Linked DNA regions of Caenorhabditis elegans. The protein of the gene in region 1 interacts with the protein of each later gene in a pairwise test. Each region holds a gene or a part of one and is shown in the gene's direction. Other genes may lie near its edges.

The links.
Region 2: the proteins of sorb-1 (region 1) and pat-12 interact in binary tests that used the Caenorhabditis elegans proteins (3 or more experiments, as listed by UniProt).
Region 3: the proteins of sorb-1 (region 1) and ehs-1 interact in a two-hybrid assay, tested with the Caenorhabditis elegans proteins (3 studies listed by BioGRID).
Region 4: the proteins of sorb-1 (region 1) and figl-1 interact in binary tests that used the Caenorhabditis elegans proteins (3 or more experiments, as listed by UniProt).

The regions. Positions count from the first base shown.
Region 1 is NC_003282.8:13,748,694-13,753,342, forward strand, and holds the start of sorb-1 (SH3 domain-containing protein), read left to right. Parts: upstream 1-1,639; 5' UTR 1,640-1,642; coding exon 1,643-1,681; intron 1,682-1,729; coding exon 1,730-1,934; intron 1,935-1,959; exon of another isoform or gene 1,960-1,980; intron 1,981-2,165; exon of another isoform or gene 2,166-2,189; intron 2,190-2,349; coding exon 2,350-2,480; intron 2,481-2,491; exon of another isoform or gene 2,492-2,512; intron 2,513-2,566; exon of another isoform or gene 2,567-2,590; intron 2,591-2,803; exon of another isoform or gene 2,804-2,824; intron 2,825-3,062; exon of another isoform or gene 3,063-3,083; intron 3,084-3,096; exon of another isoform or gene 3,097-3,117; intron 3,118-3,233; exon of another isoform or gene 3,234-3,254; intron 3,255-3,696; exon of another isoform or gene 3,697-3,717; intron 3,718-3,787; coding exon 3,788-4,641; intron 4,642-4,649. UniProt on the Caenorhabditis elegans protein: Required for organization of sarcomeres in body wall muscles and for maintaining normal mitochondrial position in myocytes.
Region 2 is NC_003281.10:735,948-740,941, reverse strand, and holds the start of pat-12 (Protein pat-12), read left to right. Parts: upstream 1-1,963; coding exon 1,964-2,113; intron 2,114-3,261; coding exon 3,262-3,348; intron 3,349-4,994. Other genes in the region: idpp-1 (SXP/RAL-2 family protein Ani s 5-like cation-binding domain-containing protein), read right to left, coding at 1-254.
Region 3 is NC_003280.10:5,819,188-5,824,399, forward strand, and holds ehs-1 (Eps15 (endocytosis protein) Homologous Sequence), read left to right. Parts: upstream 1-1,524; 5' UTR 1,525-1,532; coding exon 1,533-1,595; intron 1,596-1,642; coding exon 1,643-1,823; intron 1,824-1,906; coding exon 1,907-2,019; intron 2,020-2,065; coding exon 2,066-2,197; intron 2,198-2,311; coding exon 2,312-3,021; intron 3,022-3,074; coding exon 3,075-3,991; intron 3,992-4,089; coding exon 4,090-4,291; exon of another isoform or gene 4,292-4,338; coding exon 4,339-4,411; 3' UTR 4,412-4,675; downstream 4,676-5,212. Other genes in the region: tbc-2 (PH domain-containing protein), read right to left, coding at 4,899-4,919, 4,970-5,112, 5,164-5,212.
Region 4 is NC_003283.11:4,340,905-4,347,544, reverse strand, and holds figl-1 (Fidgetin-like protein 1), read left to right. Parts: upstream 1-1,545; 5' UTR 1,546-1,548; coding exon 1,549-2,132; intron 2,133-2,835; coding exon 2,836-3,267; intron 3,268-4,278; coding exon 4,279-4,909; intron 4,910-5,780; coding exon 5,781-5,918; 3' UTR 5,919-6,114; downstream 6,115-6,640. Other genes in the region: mcm-7 (DNA replication licensing factor MCM7), read right to left, coding at 1-197, 246-347; hpo-18 (ATP synthase subunit epsilon, mitochondrial), read left to right, coding at 1,125-1,253, 1,301-1,336; glrx-3 (Glutaredoxin 3), read left to right, coding at 6,238-6,480. UniProt on the Caenorhabditis elegans protein: Has a role in spindle assembly which acts in the progression through mitosis during embryogenesis. Required for fertility.

The DNA.
Region 1 (4,649 bases):
GCGAACGGCAAAAAACTATAATTTTTTTGAACAAATTTTTTGCAAATTTTAACTGTTTCTATGAAGTGTTAAAGTTTCTGTTCTTCCTTTGAAACTAATAAGCTTGCGCTCCACCTTTTTTTAAATACAACGGTTACTTCTGGCCAAAAGAGTACTAAATCAAAGGTGTGATGATCATGATCATAGTGATGAAAAAGTTTGTCTGGTCACTTGAGAGCAGTTCCATCTTCTCTCCTCTCATTCTCTTTCTCTTCAGCAGGTCCATCCGGCAATTGCTTAACAAAAATTGAAAGAAGAAAGACGAAAAGTGTGTAAAGTCATGTATATAGTGAGCAAAAAGATAGAGAGACGCAGACACTGAGAGAATGTGATTCTGTTTCGTGTCCCGGGGACAGAAGACGCAATGAGGGACATTCTTAGTTTCTCTAAGTGTGGCTCTCGCAACAATAATATCACTCGATTTACTGATAAAATTTTTCTTATTTTGGTTTTTTTGTCGTATTTCAAAATAACAACTTTTCGTAAAACCTAGTACTGTTTCGGGCTTGTTAACTATTACAACTGTGAAACGGTAATTTTTATTATTTTAATTTTCAATAATTTTAGTTTTCAGTGAAATACATAACTGATTTTGCAACTCCTACAATCATTGAGTTCTAATTATTTAAACTTAATGAAAGTGTAAAAAATCGTAGAAATAATTTTTTGGGTCGAACCCCAAATTCTGATAGATGAAATGTGGCCTTTTCCCTGTTATAAAAAATTTTTAACCTAAAAGTTTTACTATTCTTGAAAAAACTGCTCAAGTGACCAGACAACATTTTTCAAAAGTTGTACGTCTTACATACTCATGGACAAAGGTGGAATAGATTTGAAAATGTTGTAAAAGCTTTACCATTTCAAAGAAACAGTATAAAATTTAAACACTTGTTCCAGAATGTTATTTTCATTTTTAAAATTAAAAAATTACAAGTGTCTTTTCTATTTTAAGAAAACAAAAATTAGCATTTTTCAATTCCAGCAATGGCAAAATTGTGATTGCCGTGCACATTTTACCCGGTCTTGGAAGCTATTTTTAAAAACTAGATACATTCTCATTCAAGTCTCAAAAGGTGTTCAAAACTTTAAAAACAATAACTTTAACACAAGCATTAACATTTCAACAAAAATTATGATTTTAAGGATTGCGTCAATTGAACGTGAATCCATTGTGGGAGCTTTAACACTTAAATGAAACAGTCAAAACAAAAATTGACAATATGGTCATTTAAGTACCATCCTTATAATTCCAAAAATGCATTCTACTGGCGCTCCTAAATGTCAAATTTAGTTGGAAATTGGGTTCAAAATCTTTATAGAATTTAAAAATCTAGTGAGAAAATATTTTGAAAATTAAAACAAATTTTCAAGATGTCTGAAGTTTTCTGGAAAATGGAAAATATTCTTGAATAGTGTACATCCCATGAATCTGCAATTATTGTCAGATTGGGTAAAGTTCGAGAACTATAAAAACTGTTACAGTACAAATTTCAAAAAAAAATCCCATTTCTGACAGAACATATTAGTCTTCCGTATTTCACATTTTTCATTTATTCTTTCCTTTATTTTGTTATACAATTCTTCAAACTCCCATATTCCAGGAATGATGCATCATCCTCATCCATTCGGGTCAAACCTGGCGGTAAGAGCTTTCAATTAATCTACTCCACAATCCCTAATTAATTTCCAGAACTCATCAGAACCACAACAGCCATCTGGTCAATATCTAAATCCTGCAGCAGATGCCTACAACTTTGACACCTTTGAAGATTCTGATAAATTCTCACCGAAGGGAAATGTGGCGGCGTTGAGAAATGTGATACATGGGCAGTTGGATATGAAGACACCAACTGGAAATAGTTCCAGATATCAGAAACCAGCGCCTCCGCCTGTTGGTGAGTTTTGTTTTTCTAGGCGTTCTATGTATTAAGCTACGAAATAATAGTTTTCGGAAAGTAACACATAGCTCATATGAATTCCTTGAAACTGTAAAAAATGTTAGTCAACAAGATAGTCAACAAATACACGATTGGCTGAGACCTGGTACCTCGACGGACCTGGAAGATGAAGCAGCAATTTTGCAATTAGATTTTTGTCATTTTTTCTATTAATAGTAAGATATTTTGGTTTCTGTCCGAATGCTGCAAACAGTAACAATAAAGTTTTGAAGTAGTCTTATAAACTATCTAAAACTGTTTTTTTTGTATAATTTTTTCTGATTTTGCGGAAAACAACTCCTGATGTCTCTCCTAACCAGCAATATTCAAAAAATCCAAATGTTTTGATGTTCAATAAAATAATAAATTCCAGACTCAACTCCTTCCTGGGCCAAAAATGTAAAAGTATACGAACCAAATGGATATGTGGATCCACATCTTAACAAGCATAATATGGGAAGAGTACTTGATGGTCCTGTCAATCCAAATAAATATTTTCAAGGAGTGAGTTTTATTTTGAAAAAAACAGCGATACAATAAAGCAACGAACTTTTCAAACTGAAAACAATGTGCTGAAATAGTTAAATTTAGTTATTACTGACCATTTTTTACTGATATTATTTTCTTTTTGGCTTTTTTTACAAGCTATGAGTGAAACACGTGAGTTTTTTTCTAGAAATTATTATCGACTAAAGCTTCACTAAAAATTGTAAAATATGAGCAAAATTATTTTGAGTTTTGAAGTTTTCTACTTTTCAGAAATACAATTCACAAGTAATAATAGCTTCTATATACGAAATTTCAAAAATTTAACAGTTTTTAAGTTAAAAAAGAACAAACCGATCAGATCAAACCGGAAAATTGTAAATGTCCTAAATGGCTTTCACGAAACAGTAGAACTTTCTTTTTAATTTTCCGAAAACACAACTTTTCAGTTCTATTTTGAAAATTGTACATTCCGGGAAGTTTATGAAAAATCCTTATGTAGATAAAAATTTACGCAAAATTGTTTTAAAAAACGTTAAAATTTTGTGTACAGTTTGAAGATTTGCAAAAATTTAAAACAATGAAAATACTTTTTCGTGTTGTCTATGAAAACTACATTACTATTTTTTTGTGATAGGAAAACTTATAGGAAAAATGTTTTGAGTACTTTTTAAAACTTGCAAATGCAAATGACCTGAAAAATCGCCAAGACATTTCATGTTGTTCTAAAAAATTTAGTGCTTATTCTCTTACTTAGACTTGTTGCGACACACTGAAGATTGAAACCAATAAACATTTTTCGCTTGTTCTATTGTCATGACATAAAATTCCTGAAACAGAAAAAATTGTGGTTTCTATTTTTTTTTTTTCAATTTTCTATGAAAATTGGGTCAAATAGTGTCTGAAAGTTGTCATTTGCTGAAAAAGTTTCACGGCAAACCCTAACTCAGGCACTATTTGAGATAATTTTCGAACTTTGCAGAAAAAATAAATATCATTATCAGATAGAACTCATAGAACAAACCTTGTCCTACATTTCTGTAATGATTTTTGATACAAAAAAAATATAATCACCAAACTAAAATACGTAGGTTTGTACATTTGCTGAAAAGATTTTCCGCGCAGAACTGATTCTAACCAGGAAAATCAATAAAATTATAAAGTTTTATTCAATTCGGTGTTGATACCTCCAATTTCTTGCAAACGGAATGCCAAAATCAGTTACTTGAAATTCGAAGCGGGGAAATTTGAAAGACCGACTCTATTAACATCTTCGCATTATGTTATGAAGTTGAAACAGCAGAATTATTTTTTGCAACTTCCAGGTTCCACCGGCCAGTTACAGTCAAGTAAAGCACAATGAGTCGAAACCACCAGTGCCTCCTTCCACAAAGCCTCCACACTCTGCTGCTCAAGCCCTTCAGGCTCAGGTCCTACAGAGCTCCAAAGCCCCCTCTCAACCCCAGCAATCTCAAAAAACGTCCTACCGAATCCCGTATGACGTGGCGCTCGATCCACGTCATCACCTCGGAGAATTCGACATTGATGACAGTGCATCAATTATTTCCTCGTGTATCTCGACATTTGGAGAATCTTCAGAAATTGCTGGATTTTCTGCGGCAGCCGAGCAACGGCATCTCTATGAGCAATATAGGAAAAAGTTAATGGAAGAGAAAAATGAATTGAAAGAGGGAAGTGAGACACCGTGTGTATCTTTGTCTGAAAAAGTGATGACGTCATCGACTGAAAATTTGAAAAATGGAAATAATCAGCAGAATCAACAACCTGAGCCTCAGCCTCCATCAAGCTCAATATTCAATTCAGAACTCACACCGTTTGGCCACGTGGCTCCTGTTGCTAAACAATTTGAACCAACAAATTTTCCACCATTTTCTCCAGAAAAAGAGAGTGAAATCAAGAGATCTATCGATTTGGAAAGTTCCCAACTTCTCGTAAAATCAAAATCCCCGGCTCCCTACTCTACAAGCTCGACGGATCATTATGGAACTATTCGAAGGAAGCATAAACCAGTGGCAATTGACCTTTCCAAGTCATCACCCAACTTGGCGAGTCAATCGCCGAGCAATTTATTTTTTGGAGCCAGCTTTGAGGAGAAGCAAAATCGATCGCCGATGACATCAACTCCGTCTTATAAAGAACAAGGATTCAAAAATGATAGGTGAGTTG
Region 2 (4,994 bases), on another chromosome or scaffold:
GTCACATTGAATGCCTTGGCCCAGATTGTGAGCTGCTCATTTTGCTGATCTTGAGAGAGTTGATCGTTACTAACAATGTCGAAGAACTCTTTTCTAGCAAATCTAGGCACATGCATCAAGAATCTAGGGAACAATGGTCCATCGGGAGATGGACGTTGAGCTTGTTGCCCACCAAATTCTAGTTCCGATGAGTCTTCGGAAAGCTGCGCCAAACAAGGGATAAGTAGTGCGGAGAGCACAATGAGCAACCTCATCGTTTGCTGGAAAATCTAGAAGTTACGGCGACCAAAGAAAAATTTGAGGAAAAGGGAAAATTAAACGGTTTCTTTCTCAAAGTTCCCAGTTGACTCCTTAAATACTTTAGGCCTAGTCTACCTGATCGCGATGTGTGTTCCTTTGAGCACACACGGTCATTTTTTCCTACAACGTTAGAAAGTAAACTTCTGCGTGCGCGCGCGCAAGCACGGAGCCAGAGAAAAACAGTCTCACTACCTAAGAAAGCCGATCATGGGGTCACTAACCTGGAAAATAGTTGAGCATTTGTGGAGGGTAACGAGGCAATCAACAAACAACCTGGCTTTCTCCTTCCGCATTTGAGATCCGCATCAATTTAGTTAAGGGGGAGGGAGGAAAGAGAGAAAGTTCAAATTTTGTAGTTTTTCAAAAATCGTGTAAATACAATTAACTTTAGGGAACTTTTAGAAGAAAGTGCAACTTACGACAAAAAAATCACAGTGATCAGCGCCAGATTGCGTCGCGAGAAACGTTTATTTTACAAAATCATTAGGCTCTGTATAAGTGACTCATTATTTTAAACTTATTTGTTGGTCTCAATATACTTTTCTCTTACAGGTTATCACAAATGCTAACATGCCATATATCTCCACGAGAATTCCGGATCCCCGCCGGAACCTAGCCGGAGACTTCCCAAGTGAGCATAGCAAGTCGAAGATCAAACTTGATCCGCTCGAGCAACGTCGGTTCAGAGTAAGCCGTACTTTTGAAGACTGAAATAAAATTTTATATCATGTTCAGAGCAGTGAATCGCGTCCAATCACCACCAGCAACTATCTCGCCGAGAGTGTCGATCGCCATCGTGAGATGGAAGCATCCCGGCTCAGAGAGTATTTGAAGGTGATTTTAATTTAATAAAGTCATGAAATTATAAAATTAAACGTTCTAGGCAAAGGAAAACGAAGCCAATCAGCCATGGAACAAACCAGGGTGGCCTGGACCAAAGAAGAATGATGAGAGCCTGAGGGAGCTTGAAACCATGAAACAGGTGAGCATGCATAGCACTGCATGAAAAGTATAGTTAAAAAGTAATTCGGAGTTCCGCATAAATCTAGGTATTCAAATAGTTAAATTAGAAAATATAAGGAAAATTTGGCAATACATCACAAATGTATTACACAAAGCCTACAAGTGATGACCAACAAACTTTGTCGAACCCTTGAAAAAAAAAATTTATTTTAAGATTGTTAAATACATTTTCAAAAATCGACCCGATTACCCAGTTGACAAAATTAAGAGATGTCATTGGTTTAGGGTTACCTTATTCACACTAGAACATTTTTTATAATTTTGTTTCCAGAGAATCGAGACGCTGAAAAGAGTAAGTCTATATCCCCTTTCTTGCATGTTTGTTTGTCTTCCTGTTTGTCCTTATGTGCATGTTATACTGTGTTGTCCCTCCTTTAAAAAAGATATCCCTGGCTTGGAAACGACAACACATGGATCCTCCTACTACCTACTGACCAACTTCCCTGAAACTACACGGTGTGGTGTGAAGCGTAATAGTGTGTAGAGAGCCGTCAGCCGAAATTCAGAAAACTTCCCAATCGATGAGCGATTTGTCAGTCTTGCCTACGCCGTCACAATTCGAGCAGCTAAATCCGGTGAGTAGACGGGGATGTTTTCGGGTACTCCAGGTTTTCAAAACGGAGCATTCGTTGAACAATAAATGAGTTTTCAGCAACCTCAAGCTTCTCCAATATCTCCGGGAGATTCTGGATGGCTGATCAAAATGCGCAAAAATCGATATTTGGATCACACCTCAAAGGTGAATGAGCCTAAGAAGTACAGATCAATGGACCAGCTTCCGACTGGAAAAGTAAGCCCCTGTCTATACTCTCAACCCAAAAAATCTCAACTAATGAGATCCACCAAAAAATTTGCGTCCTGCGCTCTACGCCAAATCGAATAGTGTCTCTGCCGAAGAGTTTTCTCTCGCTTAACACATCTCTCCTTCGATCGAATAGAAGCCTCTTGAAACTTCCGCCGACGCACACACAAACTGTATGTGTGGCTGCTGGAGGCTCTGCGCGGCGAGAGAGGGGGCTTGACGGATAGAATTTGAAACTCTTTTCTTTTCCTCTTTACTCCTCCTTCATTTTTATGAGGATTTTCCTTTTTTTTGAAATTTTTTTTAATGAGTAGGTTTTTTTTAGAGGTTTTCAGGTTAAAGTTGTAGGAATTTTTTGTTTCTTGTTAAAAATGATGCATAACGAGACTAAGGCTTAGTCGTAGTTTAAGGCTCAGACTTAGGGTGCAGTGTAATCCGTTTAAGCCTAACTATAAGATAAACATTATTCTTAGGTGTAGGTATAAGCATAGGCTTAGGCTCAGACTTAGGCGTATGTATAAGCTTAGACTTAGGCCTATGTTTAGGCGTAGGTATATGCTTAGGTTTAAGCTTAGGATTGTACTTAGAATTATGTTTAGGCTCAAACTTAGGTTTTGTCTTGATCATACAGTCTTAAGATCAAAATGAAAGGAAAAGTGTTCATTGCATATATTCCTTTTTAGTTAACTTTCAGTTTTTTTTCAAAATTGTTATTGCCTAAAAATAAGACTAAAATTCAGTATTGGTTGAGGTTTTTAATTTCTTGGTGACAAAAAAAAAACGAACTAATCTAGTTTGATATTCCAAAATAATCATGTTCGACCATCATATGTTATTTCCTTTTCCATATTTGATGCTTTATTTTTTTTTTAGAAAATCCTATTGACTTTGAACCTTCATTGCTTCCTTATCTTCACTCTATCTCTTACCGCAATCATAAATTGTTTGTTTCGAAGTTTGTTCGGAGCAGCAGTAGCAGGCGCCCGCGCTCGCGCACCTCCCACAATAATTGTCGGTGTATGCGTGGGGGTGATGCTTTGACTGTTGAATCAGTAATCCGAAATAAAAACAAAGCAATTTTCGAATTGAACAACATTGAAACAAATTGCCTAAAATACAAACAGTTTTGATTACAGGTTGGTGCACCCGACAACGAGAAGTCGGAAGGTACAGATCCGCTGCACTGGCAACTGAGGAAAGACTTCCATTTGGCTAAGTATTCGGTATGTTTTAGTTGGTAACAATTTTGAATATCTGAAAAATTGTAAATTAAGGATCTAGTGAACCAATGTATCAAACCATTAGAATTACAACGATCAGACTTACCTAGTAAATAGTCATCTCCAAAAGGAGTATCTTCAAAGCTAAAAAATGTCCAAGTCGAGAAATAGGTTAATTAATTACAACTTTAGCAAGTCTTGAAGTCCAATTCATAGCTTAAAACATAAGGATCTACCCCGAATTCTATTTTTTTACTGCATAGGAGTTCTACAACGACCCAGGAGATCTTATAAAATTATAGTACTCTCTGGAGCTGTTTTTAAGGCCTAATAACTTTTCTATGCCACCACTATGTATTATATGAAAGTGAAATAAATATCGAAAATTCTACTTTAGTTTGTTAAAATTCACTTCAACTTCTGAAAAGATTATATTAGTGTAACAAACGCACTTGGAGTCAGAATGTCTCAATTCAGTTTGATCTTCAAAAAATGCGGGAGGTAAGACACAGACATCTGATTTTTTTGTATGATTGAGCGTGCTGACACCACAATTTTTTTGGGAAAAAATTCCCGCATTTTTCGTAGACCACACTGTAATGGGAGAGCCTGACACCACCTGCAAACGTATTCCTAAACATTTACAGAAATTCGTTAAATCCCAGTCATCTCCACACATAGATGTATTTATCATTTCTCTGCAGTAGTTCTTAACCGTCATGCGTTCCGCGTCGTTCTTATGTTCCGCGCACCGGGGAAACACGCATTTGACCCGAATAGTGTGCTCATGGTGATAAGTGTTCATGCTCGTGCGTGCCTTAACCTCCTCCTCCCCTGTGTTGCTCCTGGCGCTTTTTGCTTCGTTTTGTCTTTCTCTCCACTATCCCTCGTTTTTAACATACGAAACAAGAAAGACAAACACATTCGTCAAAATCCTAGGAGTTCCCGGGTGCGTCTCTCCGACCTCTCACTAAGTCTCTGGCTCCCCATTATCCTCAAAAGCACTGTGTTTTTTTTCATTATTAGGTGCCAGAATCTAGGTTCAATCTTTTCAATTCTATTTCAATTTTTAAATTTGATGGTTGCAACCAAATGTTTCTCGGCGGAACAGCTTTAACATACCTATTGTTTCAAAAACTTTTGTGGTCAATAGACATAACTCTGAGCGCAAGGCACCCATCTCTAATCACTGTTGCTTCTGTTTGCTGGGCGGGTGAGAAAAATGTCCAACATTGTGTTGTACTTCTTTTTCAAAACCATTCTTTTTCATCGTTACACCAGCACTCTCGTTTCCTGCGTTTCTCACAATTTTGGGATTCTCTGTTTATTCGAGTACATACCGTAGTGGTCGGCTCTCGCTGCTCAACACTTCATTTTTTGCCCTCGAAAAGAGTTTTTTTGGAAAGTTGCAAATTCAAAAATCACGGAGATATTGTTTTGTTAACTTTTATTGGCGAAATCGATTTTTAAAAAAAATTCTCTAACAAGATACCTTTTCAAAATTAAAAAGTGTCCATCATTGAAATGATCTCATCTTTGACCAAATCTATAATTTTTATATTTATAGTTACTCTATTTTCTTTTCTCCCACTGAGATCTCGTCTTGCCTTATTGAAAAATCCTAGAGAATTATATAGAAAAGTTACTGA
Region 3 (5,212 bases), on another chromosome or scaffold:
ACTAACAGAACGAATTTTTTAGATTTCAGAATTATCAACAAGATCATATGCAATGCCTTGAATTCATAGATAAGAGATGATGAAAGATGGAGCTGACTGCATTTGAAAGAACTTTCATTTTATCTATCTAACAATCTAACAATTATTAATAAACAATTATTCATTTTCATTGTTGTGTTTATCATTCGATTACTCGGAAAACATTTTTATTGCTCAAAATATATATTTTTCTAGCTAACTGGAGTAGTTTCAAAATTGCCATTCGGTTCAGGATAGGCGGTTTCAGGCTTACTTTTGTTTAATTAGTCCCAGGTCTTCGAAACTCAATGTTTTATTGTGTCCTGTGTTTCCCTTGATTTTCACTAAATTAATTCTGGGGACATGAGAAGGTAATCTTGGAAAATTGAAATAAACTACAGTACTCCTCAAAGACACGATTTTAAATTCAAAAAAATCAGTCGTGTCGAGACCCGGTACCGTATTTTGGGTGTTAAAATCGGAAAATTTCGCCAATGGGGATACGATAATTTGAGTTTTATATTCAAATTAGATGTATGATATAGGAAAACATTCCACTAACGGGTGTATTTGATTTATTTTGCTTGTATTTACAAATAATATATTTCGAATGCTCGCCTGTTTCTTGATATTGTCCTCGTGTTGTTCACGGCCGAAGTTTTTCACAATTATCAATAGAGCGCTTCTGAAAACTCGTCCGCGACAGTGAAAATTTTAATTTTCAGAATTAATTGTTTTTAATTTAACGATTTTAATTAATTCTCTCATTTACTGTTGCAAGATTTTTTAATGCTATCTGTTGAATATTTAATTTTATCACTATTTTCAATAATTACGATGTAGACGCTTTATTTGCAATATATATTGCAAACAATATTACAATATATATTGCAAACAATATTGCATTATACGCAGATTATTTTCTCCCGTTTTGACAGAATAAAATTAACTTGACAATGTGTGTGTAAACACAGTGACGACAAACTGCGACAATGAGTCATTCAGGTTTAGTCTTTTGCGAATTAGTTTATTTATAATAATTATATATTATAGGGTTATTGGGATATTTTTTTATCTCACCGTTAATGAAAAATGTTAAATATATTCCTGTTTCAAAAATTGGCTACAATTTAAATCAATATATTTGTTTTGTAATCATTATCATAGAGGGCCGGGACTCTTCCCACTGAAACTCAATACTTTTGCATATTTCACATTCTCTTCCTCCGTTGGTTCACCAAAAGAGAAAAGGGACCGACATGAAAAGGAAACGAAAGCTTAAAAGAGACGGAAAATCGATGTACTAGAGTGCTCGGAAGTAGTTGAGAGGCGCAGAGAGAGAGCTTTCATTCAGAAGACACACGACGTTATTCCTCGCAACGCCTTCTTCTTTTTAACAATCTTCAATACATTTTAGTGAACTTTCTTTTATTTCTGTTTCATTTAAAAATAGTCTTAAATTTCACTATATTTAATTTTTTTCTTTTATTATCTGGAATGTTTCAGCTTTCAACATGGATGATTCATACGCGATAGCTACACCGCACAATGATGTTTTTAATCACGCATTCGCAGAGGTAAATATTTAACAATTTGTAATACGTTAACAATTGTTATATTCCAGATGAACCCTCACGGAGCACCAAGAATAGGAGCTGCAGAAGCAGCTACTTTCCTTAAAAAATCAAACTTGGCGATGCCTGTGTTAGGCCAGATATGGGAGCTTAGCGACTCTCAAAAAGTTGGATCATTAGATAAGAGAGGAGCATTTGTTGCTTTTAAACTAGTCGCAGCTGCTCAACAAGGTAACTTTTATTACCTATTTGGAATCATATTTTGTTGAAAATACGATATGCTCAAAAGTAACCTTAACAGCAAAATATTTCAGGGAAGCCCGTCGCCAATTCTTCCCTCTACGATTCTTCCCTTCAGCCACCACGGTTTGCACCACCTGTACCACCAGCAAACATGCAGCATCATTTCCAACCATCGTTCCCATCGGTTTGACTGAAAAGTGGTTCCTCTATTTCTAAGTGTTATTATTCAGGTTGGCCGTGCTCCTCCAGTGCCACCACCACCACATCCATCACATCCTTATTCGATCTCTTCTCAACAATCTTCTCCAGCTCATCCATCGTCAGCTTTTCCACCACAATGGCCGATAACACCAACTGACCAGGTAGCAAAAACTGAGAATTAAAAACTTTTAAAAAATCTTTCTATTGGCACGAATAGAGAATTGACAGTTATTTTCCTTTACAGATTTGATCAAATATTCTTGTAATTATTTCAGGCTAAATATGACTCCATCTTCCAATCATTGAATCCTGTAAACGGAAAATTGTCTGGTGCACACGTACGCCCGGTTCTGATGAACTCTGGACTTGATGCTCATGCTCTGGCTCGAATTTGGGAACTTTCGGATCAGGACAAAGATGGAAACCTTGATCGAATCGAAATGTCTGTTGCACTTCATCTTGTATACCGATCACTTCAATCAGACCCGGTTCCTGCACAGCTCCCACCAAATCTCATTCATCCTTCGAAAGCAATGTATGCTCACAGCTCACCGAATTTCGCTGCTCCTCCACATCCTCCACGTCCGATGATGGGATCGAGAGCAGGATCTGTGACGTCATTGGATGATGTGAACATGAGTCAATCGTATTCTGCAACGATGCCACGTGCATATCCACCACAACCAGGTCGTGCTTACTCTGCACAGGCTCATGTGAATGGATCACGAACCAGTGGTGCATCAACTCCGATATCTGCTTCTCACTCGATTCACTCATTTCCTGCTGGTGAATGGCCTATCAATACAGGAGATTATGCTGATCAATTTGCTCAAACTGATACGAATAAGGATGGATTGGTTGATGGCATGGATATGAGAGCTCCCATGATGACTACTGGATTGAGTGCACAGATATTAGCACATGTCTGGGCATTAGCAGATATAAAAAAATGTGGACAGTTGAATTTGGAGCAATTTGCTTTGACGTAAGTCTTTCAAGTTTACCAAATATCTAGTGTAACTAAATATTAATTTTCAGAATGCATCTTCTTGACATGGCAAAACGAGGCGAGTCCATCCCATCAGAACTGCCTTTACATCTGATTCCACCTTCATTCCGCCCACCTACGGAACCTTCAGCTTTGCATCATCCTGCTCAATCAGTTTCAACTCCACAGCTCCCAGAAGCAACTTCGATGGAAATTAAAGAAGCTTTGGAAGGCGAAAACGAAGAGATGAAGCAGCTCGCAGAGTCTATTCAATCAATGCTGGTGGAGCGGAAAACTGCAGAAGAAGCTGTTTTACAACTAGAAGCTGATATGACTATTAAGAACTCGAGTATCAAAAATCTGCAGGTTGAATTGGCCACCTTGGAGTCGACAGTTAAACAGTTGGAGCGACAAAAAGGTGAAGCCACACGAAGATTAGCTGATTATGATACTCAAATAGAACAGTTAGAATCAGCATGTAAAGCACAGAAAGAAACGAAAGAAGATACCGAGAAACGAATGCAACAAATTGATGAAGATGCAAAGAATGCTGAGGACTGTAAAGCAAATGATGAAAAAGAAATGGAAGAATTGAAAAAAGAAATTGAAATGCTCGATAATCAATTCAAAACTGTTCGTGGAGAAATTGTCAAAGAAACATCACAAAGAGAGCAAAAGGTGGCCGAATTGACAACTCTAGAACGAAAAGAAGCAAGAGATCAGATACAAATGGAAAAGCTGGATGCTGCAATCGAGAACACGACAAAACTAACAGAACAAGTATCAGATGCAGTCGAAAAATCCGAGGAGGAAATGGTTCAAATTCTGAGGTCGCAACAACGATTATTGTCTACTGTAATCGATCAATCGTTGCTATCCGATGACACTGTTTATGGAGAAACAGCTGGAACATCATCTCAAAATCATGTTCAACAACCACCTGATCCGTTTGCATCCGCCAGAGCAAGTAGGTTTATATTTTTAAGAAACAAAAAGAGTTATGAAAACTTTTATTCTGACTTAAAGTTTTGAAATATGAATATATAACATAAATTCAATTTCCAGATCCTGCTGCTGATCCATTCGCCCAAGTAGATCAGTTCGGCTCATCTGGACATTTTGATGCCGCTTTCCCAACTGATCCATTTGCTCAAGGAGGCTTCCCATCGGATTCTGGCTTCGCACAATCGGCTCCCGCAAAACCTGCTCCACCTCGCCCAGCTCCTCCAAAATCTGCTCGCGAAACACCTGTCAATGATCCTTTTGCGTAAGTCTTAGTGAGTATCAATTTATTTAAAGTCTAAATAATTTCAGCCCATCACAAGGACAATCAACTCAACCGGCTGGATTCGCTGATTTTGCGGACTTTGGATCGGCTTTCAATTGATTTTTAATAATTATACCTTACCCACTATAAGCCCCAACGCCAGTCAAATTGTTTTACTTTGCCCAAATGTTTACCTGTGCCAAGTCATCGACATAATTTATTGATGCACATTTTTAAGATTAGTTTTTTTGCACTTTCCCACTTGAATTGTCACTTTTCTAGGTTATGAAATCAGAGCAATAATGTTATATACTGTAGAATATGAATATGCATGATTATTATGTAAATTATGAGTTATAATATATAGTAAATGATTTGCAGATTAATTTTATGTTGCGTATTTGATATTTTCAGTCTCATGTGTAAAAACGGAGCACAAGTAAACGGGTTGAAGGGGGGGAAGTAAACCGTAAAAGAAATTGATAAGGAAAAAGGAGAATCACAGAAGTTTGAAAATAATAGTGAAAAAGTTGTGTGAAGAAGACATAATTATGCTAGAAATCGAAAGAAAATACAGATTAGATGTACAAGAATGTTCGTGTCGGATTTACATACAGTGGCCAGTATCCTGAAAATAATAATCGCTATATTAGAATTTATTTATATATTACTGTTTACCTTCAATTGTGTCAAATAGAGTTGTCGTTTAGTTTCTATAGTCTTCTGAGGGAACGGATTCAGTTCGTTGAATGCCACTTGAGCTAGCGACTTGAAGTCAATGATATGTTCTTGAGCTTTGCTGAGACATTGATGAACTGTGCCTGAAAATTCTTGTTAAAAAACTAATAAATTTAAAGTTGTAAGTCACAAACCAATAGTTTTACATTGAAGAACGTGAGGTTCGCATATTTTGAAAAGTGC
Region 4 (6,640 bases), on another chromosome or scaffold:
TCTCCGAGATAGTCCTGGATCATATCCGAAATTGTGTCCTTGAACAGGACTTCGTATCTCTTTGTATTGGAAGTAATGGCTTCTGAGAGTTCAAGAGCATCTGGAATATCAGATTCCTTAATATGGTCAACATTCACAACGATTGCCTGCTTGTCGCGGCGAGCAATTTCAAAGACTTGATCACGATATGGGAATGCCTAAAAGTTGAATTTAAATACTCATTTATACACCAAATTCGGGAATACCTTTCCAGATCCGTCCTCATTGTCCACATAGTATTCGTCGAAGAAACTGCGAATTTTCGTCTTCTCGGCAGCCCAGTCTGTGTTGTAAGTGGTGGTTTTCATGGTGAGTGAGATTATAGGATTATAGAGCCGGGCTGAAATGATGGAAATTTTATTTTTTAATTGGAAAAACTGAAAAAATCGCGAAAAAAGCTGCTCTTGTAGCACAAAACCGATAATAAATGAGCGAGAGAGTGAAGGAATGTGCGGCAGATGGCAGCGTCGTCCGTTCGAATTTCGCGCGTTTGCCTCCTTCATGTCGTTGCGAGACCCACCAGAGTGCGAAAGTCTATGCGCCTTTAACTTATATTTTTCCGACATGGACTGTGCCATTTTTAGCTGTTTTTAAAGAAAATTGTTCGTTTTTTCATTGATTTTTGGTTGTTTTTAGATGGAATTAATGTTTATTTTAATTAAAATTGGTAAAATAATTGCTAAAATCGATAAATTGCTGCAGAAACGACAGGCAATTCTGAGAAAAAATGTTTTTTTTTGTCTCATCAGTAAAATTGTGGTTTTTCTTGGTTTTTTGTTAGTTTTTAGATGGGATTAATGTACATTTTAATCGCAAATTGTAAAATAGCTTTTATAATTTCGAAAATCGATAAATTGCTGCAGAAACGACACATTTTTTGTTTCAAGAGTAGAATTGTGATTTTTCATTGATTTTTGGCTGTTTTTAGATGAAATTAATGTTTTTTAATCGCAAATTGTAAAATAGCTTTTCTAATTGCTAAAATCGATAGATTTCATTAGTAAAATTGCGGTTTTTCTTTGTTTTCTTGTGCAAAATTAGTCGCTTTTTTCCAATATTTCTTTTTTATTCATGTTTTTCAGAAAATGGTCGCCTGGAGAGCCGCTGGACTCAACTACGTGCGTTACTCGCAAATCGCTGCCGAGATCACCCGCAAGTGCACCAAGCAAGTCGGAGGAAAGGCCGCTGTTAAGAAGCCAGAGGCAACTCTCAAGGTGATTAAATACGCCTTATTATTCAAGTTTTAACACGAATTTTTCAGATCACCACATGGGAAAATGGAAAGCAGCAAAAGTAGACAAATGATCGCACAACAGTATTCGAATAATTCCATTTGGATACATTCCATACCTTTCTTCTCTCACTTCCGATTGTTTATGATTTATTTTATTAGACGATATAAATTTTAAGCTCAATTATTCCTTTGCCTTTAAGTTGTTCAAGTTACCCCAGTCTTTTTGAATATTTTTTTGTGGGGGTTTTCAGGTCAAAAAACACTATTTTCAGATTATGTATTCTCCAAAACGGGTAAAACTCAATGTGACCAGTGGAATGAGAAAACGGCCCGAAACCGGCGAAAATAACGATGATCTTTACCCACCGACGGCTCTTGCTCGCAATGGGATTAGTCCGTATTTTATCGGAAAACCCCGTCGAAAAATAGTCGTGGAGACACCTTCGGATTCAGCTCAGCAGCAGCCTCCATTCAAATCTCGTTCTCAACAAAATGGTCTGGATGACGAGCTAGACGGGATAATAATTGATGAAGACGAAGATAGAACCGTTGATGTGTCGTTTTCACAAAAACAAGACACCCGGAAGCTCAAAAGTCGACCGTTTCTTGGCGAGAAAAGCAGCTTCAAACTTGGCGAAATTCCGAAACCAAAGGAGGAAAAACGCCGAGAAGAGCCGTTCACAATGCGAGGCTTCGATTTTGGAAGCGACGATAAAGTGACGAAAATCAGAGACAAAATCTGCGATATAGTGGATCCTACAAATGCTAGAAGAACTGATCCGAATTTTATTCGGCAAATGCATGAAAATACGCTGAAAGGCATCGAGGTGGCTTCAAATCCGCACTTTAAGAAGACCAGGTTCGTTAAGAGATCACGAAATTCTGAGAATGCGTATTTCACAACATATTTGACGCGCAAGATATCTCGTAGCGAAAAAGAAAACTACAGTAATTCTTTAAATGAAGCGCTTGTGTCGATTTACGGGCTTGATTCTCGGAAAAAGACACATTTTTCGAATTTTGATAGCGATATTCAATTTTTCTTCGTTTTTTTCCTATTCCTTTATCATTTTTGTGCTTATTTTTAATATTTTTTTTCCATTAATAAATTATTTTAATTGAAAAAACTCCAATATTCGCGTCATTTTGATGATAATACTCTAATACTCCACAAGCGTTTTTTTAACACTATTTCCCGTTTATTGCCGTAATAGGCGGGAAATAATATAAAAATACGCCTGTATGAGCTTACTCATCAAAAAAACGCCAAAATTGGAGTTTTTTGCAATTAAAGTAATTTATTAATAGATAAAATATTAAAAATAAGCACAAAAATGACCATGGTATTCGAAAAAAAAACGAAGAAAAATTGAGTATCGCTGTCAAAATTCGAAAATTTTGTTTTTTTTCCGAGAATCGAGCCCCCGTAAATCGACACAAGCGCTACAGTAGTCATAAAAAGAATATTTTGCGCGTCGAATATGTTGCGCAGTACGCATTCTCAGAATTTTGTGTTCCCGTAATATTAATCGATTTTTTTAAAAATGAAAGCGTCGTTTCAGAGCACCTACGAAAAACCGAGCAGCTATCCAAAATACCCTCGGAACCCTCTATCCATCATTTACGACTGCAGCCGGCCAGGATCCACAGAATAGCAAGTTCCAAGTGCCTCTGGATCGTCAATCCAGTTCCCAATCGATTGGAAGCTTGGCAGGGATACCACCGGCCAGAAGAGCACCGGATATCCCGAAACGATGCTCCAATCCGCTCATCAGAAAGGCGATGGGAATGGATACGGAAGGAGGTGGAAAAGATGAAAAAATGAGTGGATTGAGAGCTGAGCCAACGCTAAAGCACTTTGATGAAAATATCATTTCATTGATTGAATCGGAAATTATGTCTGTGAACAATGAGATCGGATGGGCTGATGTTGCTGGATTGGAAGGAGCGAAAAAAGCATTACGGGAGATTGTTGTACTGCCATTTAAAAGACCGTACGTTCTGAAAGGAGAAAAAAAGGGTTTTTCGGGTTTTTAGCTTGCTCAGACTCATAAAGTGCTCAAAAATGGCTGAAATTGGTTAAAATCTCGTTTTTTGTCAACTTTTCCACTTTTTTTGGTGGTTTATTTCACATTATTTTGTTGACGTAGGTACACTTAAAGCCGATAGGTGTTTTTAATTTAATTGTTTAATTTTTTATCGACTTAAATGAACCTAAATTGACGAAAAAATGTGATATAAACCACCAAAAGATGCTAAAAAGGATGATAATTCAATAAAATAGTGTTTCAGCTGATGCGGACAGGAAAAATAGACGAAATTCGAGATTTTAGATAAAATTAGCTATTTTTACGAGGTTTTGAACGCTTATTTTGTGCTTTTAGTCTATACACGCAAAAAAACCTCCTTTAAAGGTGGTGTAGTCGAATTTTTTATTGCATTATTAGACTCAAAATTATCTGAAAACACCGAATTTTATGATGAAACTACTTGGAAACTTCTCAAAAAAAAGTTATGAAGGCTTAAAAAATGTCCTAAAATTAGTTAACATTTGAAATTTGACCGACTTGTCAATGTCGCAGCGGCTGGAAACAATTTTTTTTAAATCACCGTCAAATTTTGAGTATGTAATGTAATTATCTTGCGTTTTCAACTTCACTTAGGTATTTTAAAGTCGATGGACGGCGAGATTTGGTAAAAAAAAACAATTTTAATCTCGCCGTCCATCGACTTTAAAATACCTAAATCGAGTTGAAAACGCAAGATAATTGACCTGTATACTCAAAATTTTACGGTGATTTCAAAAAAATTGTTTCCATCCGCTGACAAGTCAAATTTCAAATTTTAACTAATTTTAAGCCATTTTTTGAGCCGTCATAACTTTTTTTTGAGAATTTTTCAAGAAGTTTCATTATAAAATTCGGTGTTTTCAGACAATTTTGAGTCTAATAAAGCAATTTAAAAAATCCTCCAAAAATTTAATTGACAATTATAATTTTTTTCAGTGACGTCTTCACCGGAATCCGTGCTCCACCGAAAGGTGTTCTTCTATTCGGACCACCAGGAACCGGAAAAACAATGATCGGGAGATGTGTCGCTTCCCAGTGCAAAGCCACTTTCTTCAATATTTCAGCATCGTCGTTAACCTCAAAATGGGTTGGAGAAGGTGAAAAGCTTGTTCGTGCTCTGTTCTCAGTTGCTCGTCTGAAACTTCCGAGTGTTATCTTCATCGATGAGATCGACTCGTTACTATCATCCCGGTCGGAATCGGAACACGAATCTTCACGGCGCATCAAGACAGAGTTCCTGGTACAGTTGGATGGTGTGAATACGGCTCCAGATGAACGGCTTCTTGTATTGGGTGCCACAAATCGGCCACAAGAGTTGGATGAAGCTGCTCGTCGACGCTTCCAGAAGCGACTGTACATTGCGCTTCCGGAGCCAGAGTCGCGCACACAAATTGTGCAGAATCTACTTGTAGGCACGCGTCATGATATCACAAATCATAATTTGGAGCGGATTAGAGAGCTTACAGACGGCTATTCTGGAGCTGACATGAGGCAATTGTGCACTGAAGCAGCGATGGGTCCTATCAGAGACATTGGAGACGATATTGAGACGATTGATAAGGATGATGTGAGGATTCTGAATTAATATCAAACACTTGTGATCGGTGTAATCGCGCTCCACGGCCAATTGAAATTGCCCCGCCTCATAATGCTGGGTCTCGTTAGGAAGAAAAAAAATCCCATTGCTTTTGATTATGCGTTAATATCGAAGCTTCACGTGCATTTTCAAGAATCATTTCGGCATGAAAACCAGAAAGCAACTGAAAATAAATCAAAAAATGCATATAAACGGATGATTTCAGTAAAATCGAATTAAAAACTTGAATTTGCCGCCAATATTACGGTAACACTGAATTCGGAGAATGCGTACTGCACGACATATTCGACGAGCAAAATATCTCGTAGCGAAAACTACAGTGATTCTTTAAATGACTACTGTAGCGCGTGTGTCGATTTACGGGTACGATTTTCGAAACAATGAATCTCGTAAATCGACACAAGAGTTACATTAGACATTTAGAGAGTTACTGTAGTTTTCGCTATGAGATATTTTGCGCGTCAAATATGTTGCACAATACGCATTATATAAATTTAATGTTCCTCTTATACATAACGAGACCCAATGTTTAGCGTTAGAGCGCGATTGCACCTCAATTTAAAAAATCTCATTTTCCTCCGTCCACATAATAAAACACCTCCATGTTCCGAAAATGAACACTTTTCGAAAATTTATGAAATGTCATGCCACAACAACAAACAATTTCGCAACTCTCTCACATGACTGACGAATCTTATTATTTTTTATTTACCATTTGCCGTACGAATTGTCACATTTATTTTCTATTTTTGCACTCGGTCATCATAAAAATTAGATAAACACTCGAGCTCTGAAACATCAAATGCTCCGGTTTTAATCAACTAATCGATGAAAATTTCAGATTCGTGCCGTTACTGTAATGGATTTCGCCGAAGCAGCTCGTGTCGTTCGGCCAACAGTCGACGATTCTCAATTGGATGCCTACGCGGCTTGGGACAAAAAATTCGGTTGCCTTCCACCTCCTTCAATATCCCGTTGAGACCTTCAGAATTGAGCTGTCGAATATGTGTACTATAATTCCATCCACTTCTTCTATTTATTTATTTTTATTTTCATTGAAATCTTCTCCTGTATTATGCATTCCATCTCTTTTCTATATTATGATCTCAAAACGATCCGTATTTCATTGTTTTTTTTTATATTTTTTCTGAAAATTATTATATATTTTCAATTTTTAAACATATTTTTCATTATTCATTATTGAAATTTCAAGGTTTATTTTACCTTTCTCGTATATTTTTTTAATTTTTTTATTCAAATTTCTAGCTTTTTACCATTGCCAGCCAAAAAATTCCAGAATGCCAATTCAAGAAATCAAGTCAGGAGAGGAGGTTGCTGCGTTCATTAAGGAACCATCTCCAGCTGTTCTTCATTTCTACGCATCGTGGGCTCCAAGCTGTGAGCAAGTTAATCAGCTACTGGATGATTTGCTCGCTGAAATTGCTCTGCCGCTTCGTGCCGCCTTCATTGACGCTGAAGCTTTGCCCGGAATTTCGTTGAATTTCAAGATTACTGCTGCGCCGACGCTTGTATTTTTTAGTGTAAGTGAGCAACGAAAAAACAAGAAATTGAAATTTGTGAAAAAAAACAAAGAAAAGTTTCGATTTATTCTGAACTTTTTTTTAGGAAAAAAGTCATTGAAAAACGTTAAAAACCACTGAAAACCACATTTTGAAATCATTTTTTCGTTAAAATACCAAC